Arabidopsis thaliana: one gene and its partner. The protein of the gene in region 2 interacts with the protein of the main gene of each other region in a pairwise test. Each region holds a gene or a part of one and is shown on either strand. Other genes may lie near its edges.

Evidence for each region.
Region 1: the proteins of AT5G41800 (region 2) and EMB3135 interact in a protein complementation assay, tested with the Arabidopsis thaliana proteins (one large-scale study listed by BioGRID).

The regions. Positions count from the first base shown.
Region 1 is NC_003076.8:3,829,238-3,834,353, forward strand, and holds EMB3135 (harpin-induced protein), read left to right. Parts: upstream 1-2,262; 5' UTR 2,263-2,532; coding exon 2,533-3,396; 3' UTR 3,397-3,914; downstream 3,915-5,116. Other genes in the region: AT5G11880 (Pyridoxal-dependent decarboxylase family protein), read right to left, coding at 1-98, 203-705; AT5G11900 (Translation initiation factor SUI1 family protein), read left to right, coding at 4,917-5,064.
Region 2 is NC_003076.8:16,731,262-16,737,354, reverse strand, and holds AT5G41800 (Transmembrane amino acid transporter family protein), read right to left. Parts: upstream 3,693-6,093; 5' UTR 3,514-3,692; coding exon 3,429-3,513; intron 3,358-3,428; coding exon 3,127-3,357; intron 2,855-3,126; coding exon 2,757-2,854; intron 2,667-2,756; coding exon 2,480-2,666; intron 2,395-2,479; coding exon 2,264-2,394; intron 2,183-2,263; coding exon 1,946-2,182; intron 1,857-1,945; coding exon 1,467-1,856; 3' UTR 1,262-1,466; downstream 1-1,261. Other genes in the region: CIP1 (COP1-interactive protein 1), read right to left, coding at 4,964-6,093.

The DNA.
Region 1 (5,116 bases), about 13 Mb from region 2:
TATTCAAGTCAAACTCACTATCAACATTTACGAAAACACCTTCTTGAGCAGCTAGAACTAAATCTTCCAAAGACTTTCCATTTCCATTGAAAATACACCTATTCATTTCATCCACACCGAAGACATGGTCAAAAACTACACATCAACATGAGACCAAATAAAAAAATATTCAAACTTTATTATTGGGGATAAAGAATCGTACTTTGTGGGATCGAAACCAGCAAGAAGAGCAAGCCTGAGCTCATTTCCACTAACCAACACAGCACCACAGCCCAAACTCCTCAAATGCTCCAAAATCTTGAGATTGTTATTAGCTTTAATAGCGTAACCAATAACAGATCTCACTCCTTCCAAAGCCTCTTTATAAGCCTCAAGGTTTCTCGTGATCTGAGGTTTGCTATATAAGTAAAAGGGTCGTTTCTCGACTGTTTCCATGATATCTTGAACCTTGGTTCCTTCGCAATAGAGAAACCCATCTGATGATTTCTTGAAACAGTGGTCGAAAGAGGAAGCAGATTCTTTCGTGAGGGTTTTGGTGGAGTTTTGGGAAACGGCGGCTTTGACGGAGAGGCGTTTAAGTGGCTTCAATGTTGACTTGAGAGACAAAAATGGGATTCTTGAGAGTGAAGTCTGATTCAATTGGTACTGATTTAGGGTTCCGCGGATTGATGAAGGTTGGGAGAGAAATTGAGTAACTGCCGCCATGGCTGGAGGATTTTTGTTAGGTGTGCGACTGTTACAGTAACACTGAAGGGTTTAGAAAAAAAAAGTCAACAAGTTTAAGAGTAGTTCCTGTCGGGTCCGGTTTTAGATATCCGACAATATCGAACCGGTGGTTATAGTCGAACCGATGGTTAAAAGAAGAAAGAACAAAGTCGATTTTAACTTCTTTTGGATATGGTTTTTGTCCTTGGGGGATAGTTTCTGCTAGTGTTTGTTTTGTTCGGTTGTGTTAGTTGTGTGTTGTAATAATCTTGATGCTTAAGGGGTCACCTAAAGCAGTCATGGAAATCTAGCCCTATCTATAAAAATTTGCCATTTCTCATCACCTACCAATACTTCTATTTGTTCGTATTATGCGGATATTCAGAGGATAATGTAAAACATTTTGTTGAATGCTAACGATGAAGTGCTCTATCTAGCCGTGCACGTTGTGGAGAAGTTATGTTTTAGAATCCACATTTGTTGAAGTTATGCTTATCATACTCTCTTAATTATCTATATCTATTACAAAGAGCAAGGAATGTTCTTAGTTAGGATTTGTTTTGTTTGGCAACCATTGCTTCTGGTTATTTGTGCTCTGCCTCCTTTGTAAGTTAGGATTTGTTTTATTCTTACAACTTTGCTTCTCTCGTCATACTATATAATCTCTGACTATGTATGTAATTGCATTCATGTCGATGGTTGTGGGATGTATATTTAGGTGTTTGACTGTAAGACGTTAAAAACAAACTTTACCATAAGTTATTGGGATGTCTAGACACTTTTATGGTTTGGTGAAGTAGGCTCAATGTTTTGCCCTTTATGTTTCCATTGTTGATGTTTATGTACCTTGCTGGTTGGAACCACTTGTGGATGTTTCCGACAATGCTTCTCTGTAATGCAGTTATCTTTTAATGAAATGTGATCGATCTTGAGTGTTATTTATTTTTATTTTTTTAAAGACTTTATGGTGTGGACACTTGACCGGGTGATAATTGGTAACTATACTACATAGTTAGAGAGCTCTTGAATTATTAATCACGCTAAATCTTGGGAATTGAGAGCTCGGAAGCAAAGGTTATTAACAAAATTCAAAGCAGAGCAGCATTGCCGATGAAATAATTATTGACTTGGGATTTACTCTCTGAAGTCTGAACCAAATCGAGATTATTCTAATTATATTTTTAATTTCGGATCCCTAATCTATTAATACTCCAATATCTGCACTCATTTAATTATTTCCTCTTTTTTTAACCTGCACTGACTTAAATTCAAACTTATTTCAATTGCGTGCACACTTTAGTGAACTACTACCACTATCACTATATGTGTCGGTGGATTATTATTTCCGTCATTTTGATATTTAATTACATCTTTAATTGTTACTCTTTTTTGCCCATTCTTCTTCTTCATTTGATTACATTATACTCTATTGTGAATTACTAAATTCTGAAAACAAGAAAAATTTGAGTACACAGGACACATCTTAGTATTACTCGTTACTAAAATACTACACGTGTAAATAATTTTTTCAGAAATAAATGGGGCCACTTTGTAAGTAATAAATCAGCTTACATTAATTATTTTACCACCCAATAAAAAGATTCCACAGACTTGGCATGGAAGTCATGAACATTCACAAAAATCTAAGAAAAACTGAAAACCGAAAAAAAAACAAATTATTAAAAAGCAATAAATAAATAAACTCAGAAAAAAAAGCTATTAAGATTCCACAAAAACTCTGTATTGTCTCTTTCTCTCTCACTATCTCTCTCTCTTTTGTGAGCTCAGATCTGACCAGAGAGAAAGAAACAACCGGAGAAGAAGAAGATGACTGACCGAGTCTTCCCAGCTTCCAAACCACCAACCGCCACTAATGGAGCTCCACCAGTTGGTTCCATACCACCTCCTCCAGCTCCGGCGACTGTAACCAGCAACGGAACAACAAACGGAATGGCTAATCAGAAACCTCAAGTCTACATTCCAGCTAACCGTCCGGTTTACCGTCCACAGCCTTACAGTCGCCGTCATCACCACCAATCTCGACCAAGCTGCCGACGAATTTGCTGTTGTTGCTGTTTCTGGTCGATTCTGATAATTCTGATCTTAGCTCTCATGACTGCAATCGCCGCCACCGCGATGTACGTGATCTACCACCCTCGTCCGCCGTCGTTCTCCGTCCCGTCAATAAGAATCAGCCGCGTGAACCTAACAACCTCCTCTGATTCCTCCGTCTCTCATCTCTCTTCCTTCTTCAACTTCACTCTAATCTCAGAGAATCCAAACCAACACCTCTCTTTCTCTTACGATCCTTTCACCGTCACCGTTAATTCAGCTAAATCCGGTACGATGCTCGGTAACGGAACTGTTCCTGCTTTCTTCAGCGATAACGGTAACAAAACTTCGTTTCACGGCGTGATCGCTACGTCTACAGCGGCGCGTGAGTTAGATCCGGATGAAGCTAAGCATCTGAGATCAGATCTGACGCGCGCGCGTGTAGGATATGAGATCGAGATGAGAACTAAAGTGAAGATGATAATGGGGAAGCTGAAGAGTGAAGGAGTAGAGATCAAAGTGACATGTGAAGGATTTGAAGGAACTATACCAAAAGGTAAAACTCCAATTGTAGCTACTTCTAAAAAAACTAAGTGTAAGTCTGATCTTAGTGTCAAGGTCTGGAAATGGAGTTTCTAGAGGGAATTTTGATAATTTCACAATTGAAATTTTCTATATAATCTTCTTCTTTTTTTCTTCTGGATTTTGTGAAACTTTTGGAATGATCCAAAAGGAGATTTCTTCAGTTGTTAGTTAAAAAATTTCAGAGAAGAGTCAGAGAGATAAGGTATTGTCAAGTAGAAGAAGGCCAGAGAATTCACGGCTTCTAAAAAAATTTCTTGGATTTTTGTTTTGTTTGGAACTTTCTTACTTGAATTTATATTTAATGGATACAGAAATATAAATGTAATACTTGTAACGAATGGAGTACTAAAAAGCTGGAGATTGCAGTGACTGCGTGATAGTGAGCATTAAAGTGAGATCGTAGTAGTAATAAACAGAACCTTAAAAATGGAAAAGATGCGTGGGGTTTGTGAGGAGAACAATGAAGAACACGAGAGATGTGTTAAATGTTAGATGTTGAACCATCTATCGCATTATACAACACCATTTAAGAGAAACGTGAATCGTCTTTAGTACTCTATAAAGCAAGCATATATTCTAGCAGTTGCATGTTATAAAATTAATACAGATCGATCACTCAATTCATGAATATGGTTTGATATAAACATTAAATTAAATGTCATGCTGTCATAAAAGATGAATTATATGGTTCATTTATCTAAGAAACTTTTTATTAACTAAGTAAGTAAAAGTTTGAAGAGGTCATTTGCAAGTGACTCCGACCAGGGATAGACTCCTGAAATCTTATCCAACTATGGACGACGACTTCATGTCGGTGTGTCCAAAAATGAGGAAAAGGAATCTGCCCAAGGGACAAATGGCATTACCCGAAACGGCAAAGAAGAACCGCAGGAAAAAAAGTTGACAATAACGTATGAGGTGTGACTGAAAAAGAAAAACTTGTAGTTTGGTTTATGACGTAAATGAATAATTTGGAAATGACAATAAGTCATCATATCTAATTTAGTGCATGACCTCCAACGTCGGCATATATTTGAGTCGGTGACCGGATATCCAGTACAAAGTAAAGTACAAACCAAAAAGAAAGACAAGACAATAAAATGGGTAAAGAAGACTTGCATACACGGACGTGATAGAAGAAGACATGCATAGTATAATTCTGACTTTCTGAGACCTTTAATGAAAATATTTGGCAATGTATTTCAAGAATAACTATGGCATATCTCTTAGATTTTGTGAAAATAGCCCATAATCGAAGAAGATGATAGTAAAAAACCGAGGCCCAAATAGAACCCATTTACCCAAAATATCAAAAAGATTAGTCGTTTGGCAATGAAATTAGAAGCCCAACACATGTCCTAAGCCTTTTTCACTTTTCTTCACTGTTTGGTTTTCCGACATCATTAACTTCGCGGGGGCAAGCGACTAACAGAAGAAAAAAAGCGACTAACAGAAGAAAAAAACGAAAAGGATTATTCCGCCGTAGAATCCATATTCTCTCCCTCATCACTTTGATAAACAAGAGTCTCATTTTTCGCTTTTCCAAAGGGAACAACTTCTTCGGATTATTATCTATGGCAGAGAAGCTTGAGCCGGTGAAGGTTTTGTACTGCGGAGTTTGCTCTCTTCCAGCGGAATACTGCGAATTCGGTCCCGATTTCGCTAGATGTAAGCCCTGGCTCGTCGAAAACGCCCCAGATCTCTATCCTGATCTCCTCAAAGGTACCTTCAAACCCTAATCTTATAATTTTCGACCGTTCTTCAGAACTCGTTT
Region 2 (6,093 bases):
CTGTCAGAATTAGAAGATTTTAGCTCTTTCAAACACTCTTTTTCCACATGAGTGTCTTGCAAAAAAGCACGATCATGTGGTATTATCTTTTTCTAAGTAAACTCTATTTCATCAGATTGGTTTTCTCTTAAAGAAAATGGCCATTTCTATCTTGAATGGATGAATTACTTTTGCCATTAGGAAAAAAACTTTTACTGACTTACACACATGTGTCTAAAACAATTAACACAAAACGAGTTAGGTTCTGTATGTTGACTATTCGTGCTCGTTCCTAAATTCCTAATCCTAACACGTAAACCTTAGAAATAGTATTTAACAAATACTATCGCTGATACATCACATGATAAATCATTAATTTGATCTTGTCCCCACATATATTTATTTTTTTCATTTATGATGAAGATCCTCAAATCATACTCTCAATATAATATATATTTACAGAAAATGGCCAAAAGATACTATATGAATACAAACCTTTATATATAATTAGGTGAGTATCTGCACTATGCGCGAGCTTTTTTCGGTATTTTTTTGTTCCTCATGATTTGTTTTTAGTTGTTATATTGAAATGCTATTAAAAAATAGTACCTTGTTATTGTGTCTATATTTTATTTTTAAATTTACTATATATCCATTTATTTTGTTGTTGCTAGATTACCTTGATCCTAAGTTCTTTACGTCCACATTGTTTTGCATTTCCATTTAGATTCTTAAGGTAATTTTTAATAATTAAAAAAAAAAAGAAGAAGAAGACAAAATGCAAATGAGATTGGAGTATCCGCTCCGAAATCCATGACCATAGTATGTGATAGTCTGGGCATTCGAATTTTGGATCGGATCAGATTAGATTAGGTCTGATAGAATCCGATTAGAATCCAAACAATTTTATGATTCTAATTTTTTTAGACTTAAATCGGTTTTTATTGATATTTTAGAATCCCAAGTGTATTCGAAACCAAAATATGTATGGTTTTAATTCTTATTTGGATTTGAATTATCCGATGAAATCCAAAATATCCGAATTATCCGATCAGAATTATCAAAATTATTTGAAATTTACTATATCAAATATGAAATTCTGAATTACACGATCCGAATTGAGCATAAAATTAATAATATGTAATGTATTATTTCGGATTGGTGGATATCCAATCGGTCCGAAACCGAACCAATCAGCTACGAATACTGAAAATTAACACACTCTGAGAGAGTTTACTGAACCCAGTAATCTGTTTAGTGTTTATACCCAAAGGAACTTTGTATTTAAATAGAAAATCATTTAACAAAAAAAACATATTCATCTCAAGAACAATTGACGTAAGTGTGATAATCCTTGTCTGGTTTTGCATTTTGTAACTAGTTTGGTTTTGCATTTTGTGTGATAATGAATCAACTCGAGAAATTCATGTACAAGTGTAACCACAAAACAAGTATTGTTTATGTTTTTATCACACTATCAAAACCATCTAATCAACAACTTCACTGCTAAACAACTTGAACTTATTAGCATCAAGAACAAGTTTCCTAATGGAGGAGAAAGCTCCCATGAGTCCTGCACAAGTGAACACAACCATTATCGTCATGTTTATCCAATACGTGAAGCTCCGTCTGGTTGGCTTATAGGTCATGTTGTATAGAAGCATTGGCAGCACGAAATCGAGTGGGATAAACCCAAACGCTCCTACCACCGCGTTTATATCCCCAAAGAACGGTAGCATCGCTGCCATGAACCCGCAAAACGCCATATATAGTGTTCTTAGTATCAAACGCGGCACAAGGTTGCGTTTTGAGAATATCCCTTTTGTTGTATCCGCTGATTTCTTCTCCATTATTTCATACGCAACTTGAGAATACACCTAACCAGTTACCAAAAAAAAGAAACATTTAGTCACTCGTCTCACAGCCAAGTAACATCGAATAACGATCACACTAGTTATAAACTTACAAGGCCAATGGCGAAAAGCTGAAGAAGGACAAAGATGACAGCTAAGCCAATCACCACGATAGGAGCCAGAGTCGGTCCTTCATCAGGCATTAAGTTCTTGAGGATATTAGAGCTCGAATTGTTACCAAAAACCCAATATCCCGAAATTGCAGCAGAGTAAAACGTGAAGAAGATCACACTATAACACAACAATAGTCCTTTCAACATCTTCCCTGTGGCTGGTGGAGCAAGAGTTGCCTGCATACATATAATCATCTCATAAATCTCAAACACATAACATACAATGTTTGTATTGAATAAATTGCAAACATTTCTCACCTGTATTTCGGGTAAGATTCCATTTCCGAAAATAGCAGCTATGATCGAAATTGATGTGAAGGCACTAAAAACTTTCCCTGAATCCGAATGCTCTAGAGAATACTCACGTTTAGGAGCGTTTTTCGACAAACCTGTAGAACCAAAACTGGGCAATGAATCTAAATTTTCGAACATTAGTAAGTTGTTGTTTCTTCGCTAACGTAAGAATCATTATACCTAGGTTGATACAAGCCCCAACGACGAGGAAAGTATATCCTAAGCTGAGAAGCAGAGACGCACAGTTAATGTGTCTAAGAGAGTGAAAACTTGGAAGCTGTGAGAGAACCATCATCACAACAGTCACCATAGCAATGAACTCGTAAAGCTTCAACGTTCCTTGCGGGAAAAGACTCGAATACATTATCTGTGTAGTAACACAAAAACAGAGGATGATCCGTACGGTTCTTATAGTACCTTGTTTAACAAGTAATCAAAATTTAGGTTTCTTTCTTACATCAAGACATTGACCTGCAAGTAGAATGGCGCCAATACCAATTCCAGTGTTGATAGCTGTTTGAATAAAGATCACTACATAAAACATCAATCCAGATCCTGCACCACATCACAATAACCGGCTCAAAATTCGAAATCGGCCCTTAAACCCAAAACTCAATAACCGGAAAGACCAGACTTTATGACGTAAACCGATCTATAAACCGAAATACACAGGCCTAACCTAGACCGGTACGGTAAACTAAGACACGTGTGATGATGGCGAATCTAACAAGAAGTCAAAGTATCCAAATCGAAACACGATCCAACCTTTACGGATTTATCCAAAAAAAGCAAATTAATAAATACAAAGAAGAGATTTTGAATGATACCAAGAACATCGGCGGCGAGTTCCCGGAAACGGATGTGACGGCGGCCGGATTTTTCACAGTGATCAAGAACCTTAGACATGAGGTAATAAGCGTAGAAAGTAACGAGTCCCATCGTCGTTAAACAAACAAACCCTAACCACCATCCTAATCCTCTAAACGCATATGGTAATGTCAATATCGTCGGACCAACAATCGCCGTCGTTAGATGAAATCCGGCGTGCCACCACTCGCCTGAGAATTAATTCTCAAATCAGTTAAAATTCCAAAATTGGAGATTGATATCATAAATATATGGGTTTAACCTTTTGATTGGAGGACGAAGAGAGCACCGGCGTCGGAATCGAGTCGGGTAACAGGAAACGGGTCGGGTCTGGGAGGATCCGTCATCGATGAATTTTAGTGTGAAAGAGAAGAAGATTCTACAAGTGAATGATTTATATATGGAATGATGATGATGGAGAGCACGGTGGAGAGGTGGGCGCATGATAGCTGGTGATAGTTAATGTTTGCTATAATGTTAAATTCCGTTGCTTCTTTAAAGAAACAACCTGTCATAGTGAGAAAAGGAGACATATTTTGCATTTTCCTCTTTATTCGGGATGTGATAAAATTTTGCTTTTTTCAGATTCCTATCATTAAATTAAAAAATTAGTTTTATGATTCCTATTTTCATACATTTCCACTTGTACTTTACTTGTGCTTCTTTGCATGTTTCAGATTTTTTTTTGTAAAAATAAAAATATTAAATTGACAAAACAAGGTTTTGAAATTACTTTTTGATATTTTATTTAGAAATTTTCAGTAATGTATTGTTTGTAAATAAGGAAACAAATTTTAAGAGTTTTTTTTTTGTTGGAATAATCCAATATGATTTATATGAATATCTATCACATAATTTTAGATTTAATGTATCTTGGTGAATTAATCAGATAATAAAGTAATTGGGAATTATAACGTGTTAGACTCTTTTCAAATTTTAAGGTCAAAGTATAATCACTGTCTGATTTTAGAGGAGAAAGTAGTGTGTTTCCATAAACTCATAAAAGTGAATAGAGTTTCTATTTAAAATTTAATAATTTAAGATATTGCCAAATTGTACTTAATTTTCAATTAACTTCGATTTAGGAAATATCAACTAGTTATGGAATTTTTTCTCAAATATTTGATTGATCTAACATCACCAAACCTTACTGGCTGACTTATTTTGTGTATCATTCACATGGCTGACTTTTTCGGTTGTGAAAAACACTTGAAAAAAAAGTGGTTGCTATTAAAGAATAAACATTTCAAACATTTCAAACTAGTTCACATTAGAAATTCAAGGCGAGATATAACGACTGCTAATGCAAAAAAAAAAAACCCAATAAAATAAGAAATGAATGAGAGAACGAAACTCTGTAAAGCGATGTGTATAATTTTGTTATGAAAGAGCAAAGATGATACTATAACAAATTCCAAACAAGCAAAAGCACTATACCAACAGTAGCATTTAATCGTTCTATACAATCCGACGCCCAAAGAAAAAAAAATATCAACTCCATTTGTGTGAGCCCCTTTATTCCCTGACCTCCCATAAAAACCACCACCAACTTTGCCCACAATAAACCAAAAATTTTGACTTACAAAATACAACAAAAGTTAACAAACATATAAAAGTGCAACAAAATCGAACACAAGTACACCAAAAGTCCCCAACCAAAAATACCTCTCCACCAGCTTCTTGATTGACCAGAGTCCAAAACCTAATAAACACATATATGTTGTTTCATTGTTTGCATTCATGTGAGGTGGAAACTAGGCTTGGGAAAGATAAACAACGTACCATGGCACTGAGTCCTTAAGTTCGCTGCGACACTCTTCTTTGGCCTCGAGCCACAACGGTCTTAGACAAAACCTCCTCAAGATATTCACAACGACTTCTATGGTGATCGATCCAAACACATAATTGCCTTATCGCTTCTCTTTTCTCTTCTCCAAGTCCCATCAAAGTCTCTTTCATCATCTCCTTCTCTTTTTCATCTTCTCTTACTTTTCCTCCAAGCTTTTTTATTTCTTCATCTTTCTTCTCTATCTCTTTATTCATCTTCTCCTTCTCGTGATTTCTCTCTATCACCCAATTCGTCGCAGTCCACAGTATTTTTGATGCCTCCATTACAGTTTTCTCGTATCTCCCCTGTTTCTCCGTGAGTTTTTCTGACATGGATTGAAACCCATCTACTGTTATGTTCACTTTATCTGCTATCTCTTTGATCATACCTCGATAAGTCTCATGTGTCATGGTGAGATTCTTCTCAAGCAATGCTTGCTCCTCTAAGTGCTTAGCCTCTTCTTTCCTGAAAGCTTCTTCTTTCTCTGTTAGTACCTGTTCGGTTACTCTCAGTTTCTGGTTCGACAAGCGTAGCTTAACCTCGATGTTACTGATCTTCTCCATGAGAGTTTCGATCTCGTCTCCTTTCATTTCCAGCTCGTTACGTAAACTCTCCATCGTCTCTTCATGAACCCCAATTGTAGAATCTCTGGATGTCACTTCCTTACCCCTCTCCTCCAACAATCTTTGAGCTTCTTTGTAATCCACAGTTACCTTATTTAGTGTTGCTTCAGTTTCTTTAAATAGTTCGTTTATCTGCTTGTGTTCCTCTTCCAGCGTATTGTAAGCAGCTTCTTGCTCTACCAATGCTTTCTGGACATCGGTGATCTGATTCGACAATTCTGATTTCTCTTGCTTCTCTCTCTCAAGCTCTGCTTCGGTTTCGCTCTTCTGCACCTGTAGAGAATCAAGCTCATTCTTCAGATTGTTGATCAGTTCTGTTAAGGCCATTATTTCAGAAGACGCTACGTTGATCTTATCGTGCATTTGAACATTCTCTTCTTTCTTAGTTCTCAGCTCCTCATCAAGCTCACTTCTCTGTTTCCCTAGAGTCTCTAACTCAAGTTCACGACCCTTAATCTTCTCAGATAAACCATTTA